Linked DNA regions of Tribolium castaneum. The protein of the gene in region 1 interacts with the protein of each later gene in a biochemical or structural test. Links are inferred from orthologs where the notes say so. Each region holds a gene or a part of one and is shown in the gene's direction. Other genes may lie near its edges. The genes, in order: NEDD8-conjugating enzyme UBE2F, Roc2 and Roc1a.

The links.
Region 2: the proteins of NEDD8-conjugating enzyme UBE2F (region 1) and Roc2 form a complex in vitro, tested with the Homo sapiens proteins (10 studies listed by BioGRID, with this or other methods). The link is inferred for Tribolium castaneum from reciprocal best matches to the Homo sapiens genes UBE2F and RNF7.
Region 3: the proteins of NEDD8-conjugating enzyme UBE2F (region 1) and Roc1a form a complex in vitro, tested with the Homo sapiens proteins (2 studies listed by BioGRID). The link is inferred for Tribolium castaneum from reciprocal best matches to the Homo sapiens genes UBE2F and RBX1.

What each region holds. Positions count from the first base shown.
Region 1 is NC_087403.1:3,755,712-3,760,863, forward strand, and holds NEDD8-conjugating enzyme UBE2F, read left to right. Parts: upstream 1-2,541; 5' UTR 2,542-2,652; coding exon 2,653-2,910; intron 2,911-2,958; coding exon 2,959-3,120; intron 3,121-3,163; coding exon 3,164-3,280; 3' UTR 3,281-3,433; downstream 3,434-5,152. Other genes in the region: rb (AP-3 complex subunit beta-2), read right to left, coding at 3,629-3,767, 3,812-4,155, 4,211-4,607, 4,655-4,812, 4,861-5,152. UniProt on the Homo sapiens protein: Accepts the ubiquitin-like protein NEDD8 from the UBA3-NAE1 E1 complex and catalyzes its covalent attachment to other proteins. Together with the E3 ubiquitin ligase RNF7/RBX2, specifically neddylates cullin-5 (CUL5).
Region 2 is NC_087397.1:2,863,142-2,867,799, forward strand, and holds Roc2 (RING-box protein 2), read left to right. Parts: upstream 1-1,988; 5' UTR 1,989-2,100; coding exon 2,101-2,445; 3' UTR 2,446-2,692; downstream 2,693-4,658. Other genes in the region: Slik (STE20-like serine/threonine-protein kinase), read left to right, coding at 1-20; dual specificity mitogen-activated protein kinase kinase 7, read left to right, coding at 2,919-2,982, 3,038-3,276, 3,332-3,559, 3,609-3,788, 3,836-4,050, 4,403-4,555. UniProt on the Homo sapiens protein: Catalytic component of multiple cullin-5-RING E3 ubiquitin-protein ligase complexes (ECS complexes), which mediate the ubiquitination and subsequent proteasomal degradation of target proteins.
Region 3 is NC_087402.1:12,065,318-12,071,677, reverse strand, and holds Roc1a (RING-box protein 1A), read left to right. Parts: upstream 1-2,592; 5' UTR 2,593-2,688; coding exon 2,689-2,781; intron 2,782-2,833; coding exon 2,834-2,861; intron 2,862-2,910; coding exon 2,911-3,032; intron 3,033-3,083; coding exon 3,084-3,169; intron 3,170-5,222; coding exon 5,223-5,235; 3' UTR 5,236-5,395; downstream 5,396-6,360. Other genes in the region: e(y)3 (titin), read right to left, coding at 1,755-2,093, 2,142-2,289. UniProt on the Homo sapiens protein: E3 ubiquitin ligase component of multiple cullin-RING-based E3 ubiquitin-protein ligase (CRLs) complexes which mediate the ubiquitination and subsequent proteasomal degradation of target proteins, including proteins involved in cell cycle progression, signal transduction, transcription and transcription-coupled nucleotide excision repair.

The sequences.
Region 1 (5,152 bases):
GAAAATTGTTCCAATCTTTAAGTGGATTTTTTTCAAATATAGAAAATAATCTTTTCTTAATTTTTTGTCGGACAGCAAAACAAGGATTTCTAAAATTATTAATTTTATTAATAAAAATTAAGAAAAAGTCGTTTTTTTGAATAAAAATTGCCGCCAGAATTCATTATTTTGCCGAGCGGCCGACAGAGTAGCGCTGCGAAAGTAGCGGAAGTCTACATTACCACAATTCATATTTTACAATTTATATGAATTAAAAAGGCCTTGTTGGGCGTTTTTTTAATTTTCTTCTTCCTTATCTTCTATATAAATTTTGAGGCAATTTGACGCTTTCATTTCCATTTCGGCAGACTTAGAGCAGTTACTCTGATCCTTTTCAACATTATTATTGTTACTGTTTATCTTTATGTGTGGCGTCCAAATTTCTAAAAATTTGATAAAAAATCTAGTAATATGTAAAAGCGTTTGTGGTAACGCAGCGCTACTCTGGTGGCCGCTCGGCAAAACAAAGATCAAGGACTACGAATTAAAAATATTTGGTTTTTCCCTAGGTATTACTTAATTAATGATAATTTTATTAGAATATTTAATGGATAATGTGGATAATTGTGACTTTTCGATAAATTACTAAACCGAAATTATCTTCGTTTCACGAATCCGTCATTCGACCAATAAAAATACAGCAAGTACCTCCTTCTTGCTTATCTACCGCACAAAAAATTGCAAGGTGTTTGTCATTGGATAGCGCTGGGCTGATGCACTCCCGACAGTAAGACAGACCAATCAGAAGGCGATTAAAGTGCTTCCAAAAACTGATGTTTTATTGTTCAAATATCGGCTGATATTTGCCTAATTAAATAAATTTTGCTGTTTTAACACTTTGTCTAATTGTTGTTGACGTCCCTTTTCCAATAAAATTATTTTTGCCTTCTTCGAAGCCAATTTCAGCGGCAGATGTGGGCGAAGATTAATTCGGTCATTAATTTTTATTTAACTTAATATTCTGCAACATTTGCCTGATATCAGGTCCTAGGACCTCCTAGCAGGGCCGAAATGCTGTAATTTTGACTTTCTTATCTTGAAAACTATTTAAGCTTTTTTATTATTCCTAATGAATAGCACTTAGAAGAAAATGATGCTTGTATGTTGTTGTTTGTTAGAAAATTACGTAAAAAATTGACGCTAGTTCCAAAAAAAATTATTCAAAGAAAGCAGCAAAAAAATATGTATACCTTATTTAATAAAAAACAGGAATCATTTTTGATAAATACTGAAATTACAAAAGGCTTTTTCGTGTTTTGGGTTGATCCTGGGTCTTCGTGGAAAGAGTAGTGGTCACGCAGCGCTATTCTGGTGGACGCTCGGCAAAACAAAACCGCCTTTCTAATATAAAGTTACATTTTTGGAAAAACATCTAACGTCCAAATCAACAAAGAGAAAAAATTTAAAATAACATACTGTCAATTGGGCTATCAGTATTACGTGTCACAAATCAAATTTTGTGAACATTTCTTTGCAAATTATCTACAATTTAAATGTATATACAAAACAATAAAAAAACCTTTATTGTAATGTGACATTTGCCTGTAATTTTAGATTCTTCAAAAAAATTTTGTGATTTTCGTATGGCAAGCTTTTAAAAATAAGTCATGTTACAATATTATGATAAAATTTTAAGCGTCATTATTCGCATTTTTGTATTTTTACGTTAATAATTTGATAACTTAATTAGGGCCATTTATCCAAATATTTCACTTGGGTGGCGCACCTGTTACGTATTGCTGATTATAACCGATTTACCTGTTAGGAATCTTCATGAAAATATTTTATCAGTCTACATACTATCAGAATGAATAAAAGGGGTATCAGCGTTGCGGCAGTTACATGCTTATAAGTCGTATACTCGCGAAGAAAATGGGTTGTGTCTCATCAAAACAGTCTAAAAAAGATGCCAAGAAGGTTCGAGGTAGGGAAGACAATCGTGGGCGTCTTTCGGTGATTTGGGAGTACGTAAAAAATTCAAATAAGTACTTATATTTTTTAACATAAATTTTCTATTCAGGGAGTTAAGCTCTGCTGAGGTCCTCAACCTTGCCAAAACAGACCCGGAGGTCTACCAAATTTGTTTAAGAGATAATATCATAAGACCACCCTGCCGTAGAAGAAGCCTGTGGAAGATGTTTGGTAACGAAGCCGCTCAAGTACGCCCCAAAAAGTAAACACAAATGTATCTTTTATTTACGCAATAAACTATTTTTACTCATTTAATAAATCATTCATGTGGGTCTCTCCTTCCTTAGTAAAAAAATCCAAAACATTGGAAATAAAAATTTGATTTACAAGGTCAAGTCTTGTAGTATTTGGGTGGAAACTTTTTAAATAACCATGGTACATATACGTGTTATAAAACACAATTAGACCACCCCAAATTTGAGTTTTTTCTATTAACCAAAATTATGTTAAAGTAACAGTTGATAGTATTTTCGCCTTATTTCGTTTAAACAATTTGAAAAAAAATTCGGTTCGAAGATCTTTCGGTCCGGGTCACTCTCGTTGACAGCGGCGCTGTCAGTTACCTAACCAAAAATTTATATCAAAATTAAACATAAACAATGCGATGATTTTCATTGTGTTTCAATAATAATTTGTAGAATCATGATTACGCTATCCCAACGCTTGAAAAAACAGCAAGAAGACCGTTCTTCTAACACGAACCGAATTTCAATCAGGGACAAACTACTAATTAAAGAATCACAAGAAATGGCCCAACTTTTGCCCAGTAATTGTTCAGTTTTCTACGAGAATGAGAACGATTTGAGCAAGTTCATTTTAACCGTGAGACCCACGGAGGGCCTTTGGGAGGGTGGTACTTTTAGATTTGCTATTAACGTTACCGAAGAGTATAACATGGTTGTAAGTATTGCCACCGAGTTGCGATCGGCGGTTGAGTCTCGTTTGCAGCCTCCCACTGTCAGATGCCTCACGCGTTTGTGGCACCCTAACATAACCGAAGTCGGCGAAGTGTGCCTATCGCTCCTGAGGCAGCACAGCATGGACGGGCTGGGCTGGTCGCCCATTAGGAGATTAAACGACGTCGTCTGGGGCCTACACGCCTTATTTACGGTATTTATCGGATCGTTTGGACACGGTTGACGTTTTGTTTCAGGATTTGTTAAATTTTGACGATCCTTTAAATATAGAAGCTTCGGATATGTATAGAAACTCTAAGGAGGAATTTAGAATGAAAGTGAATGAGTACGTTATGCTGTATGCTAAAGATTAATCGTTGTAGAGTCGTCGATATTACTGTTTGTCCGCTTTCACGAGTGTGAATACTCCATTTCCTTTTTTTGTAAAAAGTTATCGTAAAGTTTGTCCACAAGTGAGCAACTCTTCACTTTGGGTAAAGTTTACCACAATATATTTATATGAATTACCGCTGTTTCAATCCAAACACACACTTCTCATAAATATTTATTTGAAAGGATAAAAAAGAAAAGTGATAACTAGGTGGCAAATACATCCAACATAATATTCACGCAAAAGGAAGCTCGGCGTTTAGCAAGTGCACATTATGTTCAAGTATTTCCCGTTACAAACAAGTACAATACATCAAATACGCTGAAGCAACTTATGACTTGAGATTATGTAGCAGTTCGTTGAGCATAACGGACCCAAAGACCATGTTCTCGCAATTGACAGTGACCACCTCCTGCTTGGTTATTGTGACCAGAACGAAGTTCGACGATTTCAGCGTTTGGCCCGCGAACCTGTAAACGAGACTAATCACTCGCCACACAAAAGCGGGCGTTACCTCAGGCTGTCGCTCGCTGGGTCGCACACGCCCAAGTTGCTGCATTCGGTGACTCTTTCGACGATGTTAGAGACGCACTTCACTTTGCCGATATGTTCGTTCATGCCGCCCAACTTCGACTGCTTTTCCTGGAATGTGGGGGTGTCCATCCGGACGGGGCGCACCAGCTCGCCTATGGTCGGCTTTATGCAGACGCTGAAGTTGCCCAACGAGCACACGATCTCGAAGTTCGCCGGCTGGGTCGTGTCGTTGAAGTCGATCCCGAGCGACGCGGGCAGGCAGCCGTTTGGCGGCAATCTGGCGATGTTTGCGAACTCATACATCGACATGTCCAGTCCTAAATTCTACAAAATTCGGACACTGGAACCGTTTCAAAGAAACAAAATAAGACCAGCCAACCTTTTTTCCCAGCCTAATATCACTGATGTCTTCGGTGGTGTTGTTGGTGAACATTATATTGATGTTTGCCATACTTGGCGATAAAATATGAGGCGTCCGGGTGAACCTGTAAGTGGCCGACAGCCCCCGCCCGTTGATTTTGTTAATAAGTTCGATGGTTTTAGTGTTGGTGAAAACGGGGGGCGTCATTTCGACCTGCGAAGGTGTCGTGCTTACGACACTCGGTGTTAGGAACCCGCCCAGTGATGGGGTCATCACGGGTGCAGTGCTATCAACGTCGCCTAAATCTAGCAATAAGTCTAAGTTTGATTTTGGTTTTGGTGCTTCGGGTTTCTTCGCTTCTTCTTCACTCTCCTCACTGCTGGACTCTTCGCTCGAAGTGCAACTCGCCGACTTCCTGAAATTGTTTTACTATCAATTTGCCCGAAAACCACAGTTCCGTACTCATCACTTGACGATTCTTCCTCATATTGACTTTCGCTGTCTTCACTCGAACTGTCGCTACTAGAGCTAGACGAGTCGGAGCTGTCCGAGCTGTTGTTGCTACTAGCCCCCCGGGAACTCCCCGACTCCCACAAGAACATGTCTTTACCCTTTTTGTCCTGAAACAGTGATTTATTTCGGAAATTTCGGTAACGGCTGATAAGTACCGATTTTTTGTACGATTTGGAGTCTTCAATTACGATTGGTTCGACGTTTCGGACGTCACCCGGGGGCGGATTCTCCGGGAACGGGGGCAGGGGCTCATAGCCGGTCGCTCGTTGCTTGATATAGTGCGACAGGGAGCCCAATTGCAAGTCTTCGTGGTCTTTGAAATGCGACTGAAGTAGGGGTGCGGGCTTGCTTGCCAGGAATATCCTAGCCGATTGGGAGGCAATTCGGCCGTTTTGTTGCGGTATGAACTGCTTAAACAGCCTTGCTTTGTCCCTAATGTCGTAGTTT
Region 2 (4,658 bases), on another chromosome or scaffold:
CGTCGGTTTCGGAGGGATAGAACGCTTTAGGAAACAGTATACTCCAAAATGTGCCTCTGCAGATCCAGAGCGAGCATTGATTACCCTAACTCGTGTATATACTTATTACACAGACTGAATAATTAAGAAAATCGTATGAAACATTTTTTTCGTTTTGTTTCTTTTACTAGAGAGATTGAGGTGACCTGATAAGCTACTTAAATTTGGAAATTTCGAAAGGGAGAATTTTTTTCAGGTTGTTTACTGAAAACAAATAAACTATTGTTAGCTTGCTTGCTAAAACTAGACTAGTTTTACGTCGATCCTTTTTATTAAATTAAGATTAGAGGTGATTGAGGATTTAAAATTGTGTGCATTTATTAAAACCAGACTGACAGGTTACACTTGTTATTTTGTGAAATAATTAAGTTAGATTGTACTAATAGTTCAAAAGATTGTTATATCATGTTCGTAAGTAAGTTTTCTTTGTATTGAGGTATTATCTAACAATAAATACTGATTAATTATTATTTAACATAATAGATTGTATTGGGATTGTTTTTTGTTTACGCTTGCACTACTCCAGTCTGATGTATAAATACTATTATAGTCCATGTTATTTAAATACTGAAATTTTTATCAGCTGTATTCTAAGGTGTACATACAAATTCCATCTAACTTAAGTTTATTAGGACAGTGTGATAAGATTTTTATCGTCTTTTAGTTCTTTACTAACGTTTGCCACTATCATGCTGTTCTGTATTATTATGATGTACAGTCAGTGTATTTTATTTTTATGTGCATATTATTTACCAGTAACTATTATATTCAAATAAATAATATAAATAGAATTCGATTTAATCCTTCCACCTCAACTTTTCTGGGACATACTGTATATTAAAAAAAAGTAAGGTTAGGGTACGGTTTACCAACAAAAACGAAAATGGTTTTATTCGAACAAATAAGGCTGAAAAACTGCCGATTGTGTCACACAAAGCCCGGCCAACACGACATAAAAACAGACAAAAAATTAGTAAAAGAAATTTACGAATGCACAAAAGTGAAGGTGAAAAAAACTTGCCCAATTTGTAATTTATTAAAGAACTTTTTTGTAGGTAAATGATAAATCTATGGAGCTTTTGCCGCGTTCTGTGTGTGAGGAGTGCAAAAAAACCATAAAATGTTTTTCGCTTTACAAGCAACACATTCGCAAAGTGGATCAGTGTTTCAGAAGGATTTTAAAAAATTGCGAAGCCAAAAGTAAGGACACTAAAGAAGAAATCTTCAAGTGTGAACAATGTCCAGGGGAGTTCAGTGATCATGATTTATTTAAGAATCATTTAAATTCACACCAGATAAGTGTTAGTCAGGAGGAAATTAAAGCAGAAGTTTCGTGTCCGAAATGTGATAACAAGTTTTGTAACTTGGAGGAGTATGGGTCTCACAACTGTTTCACAGAAGAAGAAAATTCGCAACATGATAGTTTTGAAAATAAAATAGAAACAGAGGATTTGGAGGCGTTTAAAAAAGCCAAATTCGTTTGTAGTTGGAAGAATTGTAAAAAAATCCTCAGTTCCGCCTACACATTAAAAACGCATGAGCTCAAACATCAGGGGAAACGCTCGTTTTTGTGTGTAACTTGTGGTAACAATTATTTCTATTAACGCCCCACAAGTAAAAAATTATTACAGGCAAAGGCTTCATCACAAAAAATTCATTAACCTGCCACGAAAAAATACACCTGGAAGTGAAAGGTTACGTGTGTAAGCTCTGTAATCTTGGGTTTTCTGTGCGAAGTAATCTGAGGGCACATGAAAAAAAGCATCATGAAGGAGTCAGATTTTACTGCTCGCAGTGTTCCAGAGCATTTGCTTCAAAGTGCAGTTTGCAGAGGCACGAAAGAATTCACACAGGAATCAAGGAATTCAAGTGCCAGTCCTGCCCTTCGGCGTTCTATACCAAAAAAGAGCTCCTGAAGCACCAAAGGTACCATCAGGTGGGTATTTTTGTAATTTAGCGTGTTCTTGTTGGTGGCACTGTTACTAACGCGTCAAACGTCATCGCAAATATTGAGGTTACAATTAGGATAATAAATAACGCCCTTGGTTGATAACTGCCACCATGTCGAGTTCTATTGCCGACGAGAACGAGAACACCGAGCGCCTCGACGGCGAGGGAGCCAAGAGCGAGAAAATGTTCACTTTGAAAAAATGGAACGCTGTTGCAATGTGGAGCTGGGACGTGGAATGCGACACTTGTGCGATTTGTCGCGTGCAAGTGATGGACGCGTGTTTGCGGTGCCAAGCTGAGAGCAAAAAAGACTCGTACGGGAAGCAGGATTGCGTGGTGGTGTGGGGGGAGTGCAACCACTCGTTTCACTATTGTTGCATGTCTTTGTGGGTCAAGCAAAATAATCGCTGCCCGTTGTGTCAGCAAGAATGGTCCATCCAGAGGATGGGCAAATAATGATTTCGTGTACTTTTCAGGGTTTGCGCTTACATAAGTGTGACGAATGCTTTAAAACATTTTTCGAACGGCACCACCTGATCATCCATTTGAGGAGCCACACTGGGGAGAGGCCTTATGTATGCCAGTTTCCCAATTGTGGCAAGTCTTTCACGGAAAGTCAAAAACTAAAGAGGCATCATAATGCCAAACATGCCCAAACATAATTAATTGTATTTCCTTTTATTAATAAAATTGTAAAACAGAACTGGTTGTTTTATTTGTGGGAACTTTTGATTTCTGATGAGTTCGGTAGCAACTGTGTCAGGTTGGCCAACCGATGGTGTTTTTCCTTTGGCAGCTAAAAGTTACAGGTTATAGCTGTCATTGGTTTTGACTTTGTAGTAAGTATAATTATGTCTAGTCAAGAACAGAAAATAAATAATTTATTAGATCGATTAAGACAAGGAAACAATCCTCCACGCAATCTGCAAATGTCCGGTCAAAGTATCGCCAGAAATAATGGTGATGTTCCTCACAGTCGCCCGAGTCTCCCATGTAAGTTGTTTAATAAGTTAAGGGGGAAAATAAGAGCGATCTTTGGTTTTCCCAGTGGGCATGGTCCCCAGCCGGCCACGAGATTTATCTTTCACGCCAAGAAGCAGTGAAAATTTAGAGACTGATAGGAAGTTGAAAGAAATCATGAAAATTAGTGGTAACCTAACAATCAACAACAAACTATACGAAACTGATATAAAAGATATGGAAAGACTTGAAGAACTGGGCTTCGGGACCTGCGGTCACGTTATCAAAATGAGACACAAACTAAGTGGCGAAATCATAGCCGTCAAAGTAAACATCAAGGTCCAAAAATTAACACAATTTATTTCACGGGCTTCCATTTCAGCAAATGCGACGTTCGGGCAACAACGACGAAAACAAAAGGATTATTATGGACATTGAAGTGGTCCTAAAGTCACACGACTGTAAATATATAGTTCAATGTTTAGGCTGTTTTATAACCGATTCGGAAGTCTGGATATGCATGGAGCTCATGACTACGTGCTTTGATAAGTTACTAAAACGGTTAGGTAAACCGATACCTGAAGAAATCCTGGGTAAAGTTACAGTTGCTGTAAGTACACGTCTTCCTTTTCAAGCACCACGCTCACTGAACGTTACAGACTGTAGAGGCTTTATCGTATTTAAAAGATAAGCACGGTGTGATACATAGGGATGTAAAACCTTCAAATATTTTGATCGACACTAAAGGCCATATAAAATTGTGTGATTTTGGTATTAGTGGACGTTTGGTGGACTCAATGGCAAAAACTAGGAGCGCTGGGTGTGCTGCATATTTAGCTGTGAGTTTTTCCCCCACATTTATTTTTTTTCTAATTTTTTAATTTAGCCGGAACGCATTGAACCCGACCCTAAAAATCCCGACTATGACATACGTGCCGACGTTTGGTCATTAGGCATAACTCTAGTTGAATTAGCAACGGGGGTTTTCCCATATCCCAACTGTACAACCGATTTTGAAGTCCTAACCAAAGTGCTAGGACAAGATCCGCCAAGCTTACCTGAGACTTTTAGTCCGGAATTTAGGGAATTTGTTAAATTTTGGTAAGTATGGCACTGTGGGAGCCTAAAATAGGAGGCGACACACTGCTTTTATGCAAAGTAAGAATTTACGTAATAATTTACATGATTTGCTGATATTTCACGAAATATTTTTTGTGATTTGACTTCAATGAACGCGTTTTTCGCAAAATGAATCTCTAATAATATTAATAATAATAATCTTCAACACAAGATATACAGAAAATTGTAGTTAGGTGTAAAGAAATAAAGATATTTTCGAAAACAATATACATAATAATTTAAGACAATTTGTAACCGGGGTGATCTGTGGCTGTCGCCTCCTATTTAATTAACATTGAATCGTTAAGAGCCGGTCTTTAAACGTTGGTTTCAGTTTAATTAAAGATCAAAAACAGAGGCCTAAATATGCGAAACTGAAAAATTTGTCGTTTATTAAAAAGTACGAAGTAAAGCTGGTGAATGTGGGGGAGTGGGTGGTGAACGCACTTAAGGAGGCAGACGCTGTGGCGAATCCAACAGCGCCTAGGTATGTTGCATGGTTAGTTTCGATTTTGATTTATAATTTCTTTTACTTTAGTTTTTATTAATTGCTTGCTGTGTTTTCTGAGTGATTAATAAAGAAAGTGGTG
Region 3 (6,360 bases), on another chromosome or scaffold:
TTAAATTAATTAATTTAATTATTTTGTTGTAATTAAAACATTAAAGGCTTTAGGGGTTTATAAAAAGCTTCATTAAATTTTGAGACGTTAAAAGTTAACAATGCGAATGAACTAACCAAGTTGTTTCAATTAGGTTACTTGATCAATTAATCACGCATTTAACTGCGGATTAAGTTAAACCGGCCCTAAGATTAATCATTTGTATGCGGTAACAGAAGAAAGGCGAAGTGTTACACAGCAAACATATTATTAACCATGTCTTGTAATTTTCGCATTATTTCTAACAAAATTTTGAAATAATAGAGTTACTGACTGAAAAGCCAGCAAAAAAAATAAAAAAAATTTTTTCGATGTGTTTTTAGAAAAATCAATCTCAAACCAAAAACTGAAAACTTAGTTTATAATTTATAAACCATATCTCCAACCACGTTTTTCGTTTGCTTGGCTATACTGTTCAGAAAAAGGTTGGTTTTTCACCTTATTTTTAAAATAATTGTATTGAAAACTGAAAAACGTGTTTTTTTATAAGACCTATAGGTTATATTGATATCATAAGTTGTCTCCTAGTAGCAAAATTATGATCTAATAATAGACCAGCTGTGTTATTAAATAATAACCAATATAAAATAATAATTAATAGTAAGCACAAAAATTTTATAATATTTTTTTGTTCTTAATATTGCTTTGTGACCTCATTTTTGTTTATTTTTATTTACATTTTATTCTTGTTACTTAATTTTACATGAGAATTAATTTTGTTACATTTCGAAATATTTTGTGTTTATTTTCTTTGATGATATACCTAATAATCGTATAAAGTATAAAAGCATAAAAGATAATTACAAACATACAGAGCATTTGTGAAATACTACAATGGAATATAACGCTACAGTAAAAAAATTACTCAAATATGAGAAAATTATATCAGGAAATTATTTAATCATAGACTATAAATATCAAATCACCTAATTTTCAGCCATTCCAGTTTAACGGACGGAACACTGCAAAAAAATTTTGATTTTATTTTCAGTTTTTATGAACAGTATCAGTTGAAATGATTTTTTTTTCTAGGACAACAGTACCAGTCAAGGTGTTTCCAACCTATAATTGGAGCCACATTGTAAAATTGGAAATGCGAACAGAAAAAAAAATACAAATTGATATCTATCATAGATTTTTAAATTTTTGCAGAACCGTTTCTTAAAAATTTCAATTATTAATTATTCAATTATCAATAACCTTAATTATCAAAGACTTTAACAATATCAAAATTAAGACACTGTTAACATCGCATTTAACCGAATATTTTTTTTAAATAAGATTGATAAAAATAGTTATTAATGACAAGATCTTCCAATAAAACTAGAAAATATATAAGCTATTAATTCTTTGAAAAGCATAAATAATTTATAACAATTACTTCTAGAGAAAATCCGACGTTGGCATTTTTATAATTTCGAAACAGCTAATAATTACGCTAACATTTGATACTGTTCAAAATTTTTAAGACATGACTGTGAAGCACCCCAATGCCCATAGCTGACTTATTAACTATTAACTCAATTAATTAATAAAATATTTGATTTCGGCTGTATTTTTTGGAAACGAAATTTAGTACATTTTGAAACCAAAACATACATGTTCCATTGAAGCCCAGACTAGTGGCTCCCCTAACGCCCGTTTTTTGACACTGGCTGACTTATTAACTAATCATTTAAAATTAATATAAATTAAATAAATATTTGATTTCTTACCTTGCAACATTTGAAGTTCAGCTGAAAACTCATCAAGCTCCATCGCAATGTCTTTATTAGCCCCTCTCAGATCCTTTCGAATCGTAAAATCAAACGAAGTCGTCGGCTCCCCTAACAAATTCTCCAAATCCTGAACAATGTCATCAACATTTTCTGTAATTTTCTCCGTAGAAGTATCCGTAATATTCATATCGAGCAGGTCCTTATCGGACGCAATCGGCGATGGGTTACCACCCCCTGACATCTCCCTCACTAAATTAATAACTGGGTTCGCACTACTCGGGTGTTTCCCCGAATCCAAAGCATCCGAGGATGTGCTACTGATTGGATCGTCAGCAGCTGAACACAATTGAAGTAAGCGCAAGGAAAACTGGAAAAAACACTTACCAATGTGTGACGTTGAAGTGGTTGTAAATGCATCGGTGGAAGACGTTGGGGTTGAATCACAAGACTCACTTTTTTCGTCGGTATTCGATGACAGCAGGTTGCCCATTGTTGAGGTTAACTCGCTTTCGGTGGATTTTTCACTTTCCATTGTCACTTGCACGGGAAAATGGTGCTATTTGGTTGAAAACACACCGTTTATCACAGACAATTAATTACGGGTATAATTAAATGCGGCATTTTTGTTTACGGTTTTAAACGACAAACGCCATCACAAGTGGAAGCTTCGCCAGGAGTGCCAACGGCAACCGTCAGACGAAAATGGCCATTAATAAAATAATTATCAATTAATACAACACTTGTTTACAATTTTAATGCGTTAGCCATCCATTAGTTAAGTTAATAACATTGATTTTCGCAAAATTGGTCATTCTGTGGTGGTTGAAGGGCACCCAACACACGCGTAAAATTCCCCAGTCGAAATTTCACCCCAAACAGTTTGGCAATTAACGTTTGTAAAAACTCACAATTTTGTGTTATTTGGGCAAAAATGGCAGCGGCAATGGACGTGGATGTTGACGAGGTCGAAGTTCCCACTTCGAGCAGTTCCAAGGGTGAAAAGAAGCGTTTCGAAGTGAAAAAGGTAAGTTTGTGAGACATAACCTAACACTTGATGATTTTTCATTTTTATGAAGTGGAACGCCGTAGCGTTGTGGGCTTGGGGTACGCTGTGTCATTTTATTAGACACGTTGGTTTTAATTAAAATTTTAGATATCGTGGTCGATAATTGTGCCATTTGTCGCAATCATATTATGGATTTATGTATTGAGTGTCAGGCAAATCAGGCCTCAGCGACCAGTGAAGAGTGTACAGTTGCTTGGGGAGTGTGTAATGTGAGTAATTTGCTGTTTTTTGAGTTTTGGTTTTAGTGAATCTGGTTTTAGCACGCGTTTCATTTTCACTGTATTTCGAGGTGGTTGAAGACAAGGCAGGTGTGCCCACTAGATAATCGAGAATGGGAATTTCAAAAGTAAGTTTTTTTATTTTAAATGTTTTTCTAACGGGTTAATAGTCCCTTTGTTTTTACAACTTTTACAATACAGAGGGTTTAAATTTTTTATTGTTATACCATCTAGTGGTCAATTAACGATCTACTTTGTTGTGTGACATGGCGGGAAATTTGAATGTCACATTTCACAGTTTTTGTTATAGTAATTTCATAATAATACTTAAACACAGGCTGTCCCAACGATCCCAAAAAGCTCCATAATTTGTTTATTATTAAAGATATTGAGTTTTCCTTTTTTTTAGATACGGGTATGCATATAGAGGATGTTCCAATATAAAAAAACACTAAAGCTATGTTTTTTCAAATGAAACACCCTAAATTTTATTGCATTTTTGCTTAGTTTTTAAAATATTTTGATTTTTTTGACAAAAACACAAAAAATTATTACACAAAAAGGCAGAATCGTAGAATCCCACACGGGGAAAAGTTCAAACTTATAAATCTGTTCCAATTGTTTAGCGTATTACAATTAGAAACAGAAAAATTAAAGTTTATTAAAACTTGAAAAACTTAAATGGAACACTCTATTTTTTGTTATTGCTTCTCAAAAATTACTAAATTACTAAAAACATAAAGTTTCAACTTCCTAAAGTTACTAACTAAAAAGATATTTCACTTTAAACGTTAATTTCAACAACATATCACAACCATAGCAACTCCACCACAGACCACTTGTTGGAGATTATACGGGACTAAAAATTCTATAAGTATTGAAATTTTAATTATTTCACTGTTATAAATGACAAATAATGGCCTAAAAGTAACATTAAAGTTATTATTAGCAGAAAATTTCACTTTTTGACTACTGAAACAATAGGTAATAATTTTTTTATTGTTTAATGTTAAAAATCTTTTGAGTAATCACTAATTAGCGAAAGACCCAACTGTTAATCTTGTCAGAGAGACTATTTAAAGGTCTTTTAGATGCAAAAATAAAAATTGGGTGTTCCATTTAAAATTTTTAAGTTATTCAACTTGCAACAAACCTCTTCATTTTTTATCTTCTTGATTGCAGTAAGCTAATAAAAATAATACATCCTTGGAGTTTGAACTTTCTTTCTTTAAAGTGGTGAAAGTTCCTCTTTTCTGAGATTCTAAGTTTTTATGTAACGATTTTTTTAAAAAAGCGTGTTTTGGCAAAAAAATCCAGTTATTGTAAAAACAAAGCAAAATCGACCTATAACAATTTGAAAAGCTTGAAAACATCTGTGTTAAAAGCTACATCCAAAAATGCAAAAAATATAGGTTGTTCCATTTAAAAAAACAAGTTTGTATTGTATCTAATTTTAGAAACAGCCTGTATACTTGAAAATAATTTTAAGTGGTAGGTACTTTAACTTAAAAAACAGTATAATCGTCAACGTTAGTATTTGTCCTAAGAACGTATTTAAACAACTTAAATAACTTAAATAAAAATCAAAGTAATTTTACTAAAAACTGAATTAATATGTATTTGTTTTCTAACAATTGTTCAATTGTTGTAATATTAATTAATTATTTCGTTTGAATAAATAAACTGTTTCAAAACTATAAAAACGCCAACGTCGCCTGTTACTGAATTATTTTTTTAAACAAAATACATAGAATTTTTAAAATAGTTACTAATGATTAGATCTCTCATTGAAAGTATAAATTACATTAGGTACTATTTTTTAAAGTGCATGAATAATTTATAACAACTAATTTTGAGAAAAAATGCGATTTTGGCGTTTTTATACTTTCAAAATAGCTAATACATATACTGCATTTGCCAAATAACAACGAATAATGAGAAACGCTTTTGTAAAAGTTTTTTAGTTACCGGTATATTGACTTGTTCTCTACAGAAATACATCATCCGATAAATTTCAGAAAAACTCAAACAGTAGTTTACGAAAAAAATCGAAGAAAACAATTTTTAAGAAACTGTAGAAAGTGAAAATAAACTGAAACATGTGATGGTGGTGTAAATTACTTTGATTTTTTTTATTTTATTTTTTATTCTAAGAAAGTACTGATGATGTATTTTTTGCAGGTATGGGCATTGATCGTTATGTTATCAGTAGCATAATACGGTTTTCGGTATTTGATTCTCACCATTTTTTTTCGTAAACTCAACATGTTATAACGGAAATTTAGTTTTTGTATAATCCAGGTCTTGAAATTTTTTGTTACATTTTGTATTTCAATAAATTATTATTCAATTCATACTGTCTTTTTTCAATACCTACTATCCCAAAATAATTACTAGTTGTAAAAATAAATTTTTTTGGTTTTTACTGAGTACGCATAAAACCTAATCTTCCGAATTCCAGTATCTTTGTTCATGGATTGTCATGCACATAACGTAAATATTTCTAATTTTATTAATAATTTATTAAAGAGCTGAAATTATTTGCAACTGCGTGTTTACTGTTCCCATTTTGGCCTTAAAAGTTTTAAGAAATGTTTCCTTCTCTTTTTTTTCTTCCTTGAGATGCATTAAATTTAAAGTTTCGGGAGTTGATACTTTTTGAGTCTTTTTATTTCGTTTTATGTTAAGAATATCATTTGGTCATTAATATCAATTTTTGCGTGTACTTATTTGTTGGTTTTTTCTTAATTTTTATTTTGTAGGGTTGAACTGAATAACTTTCAGCCACACTTCGCCCCACTGAATTATTTATTGTTTCTTTTTTCAAAGCCTTCTTAATATTATTATTATCGATACCTAATGATAATGAATAATGATTTTTCATTTTTTCAAATACTAGTCATTCCAATTTAATAAAAATGCTAACAACTTCGTTTGTTTAAATAATGTTGATAAAAATGTAAAATATTTTTTGATTATTAGATGTGTCATTGAAATCATAAATTACATTAGCTATTAAGGTTTAGAAGTGCATGAATAATTTAACTTTGAGAGAAAAGGCGGCACTGCTATTGTAATTGGAATGGATGTTATAAAAGGAGAGGAGCTATACAAAAATTTAGTTATTCCCATAACATTTATTTCAACACTCCTATAACGATTACTTTTCTAGTTCAAAAACTGAGGCATTTTTCAAAATATTGAAACTAAAAAGCTGTAGTGGAATTTTCTCCTATATTTTTGTATTATTAATTGTTCATTGATTTGTACTATCTATTGTTGATTTGCTCCATGATGAACGTAAGTATGTTTCGAGAAA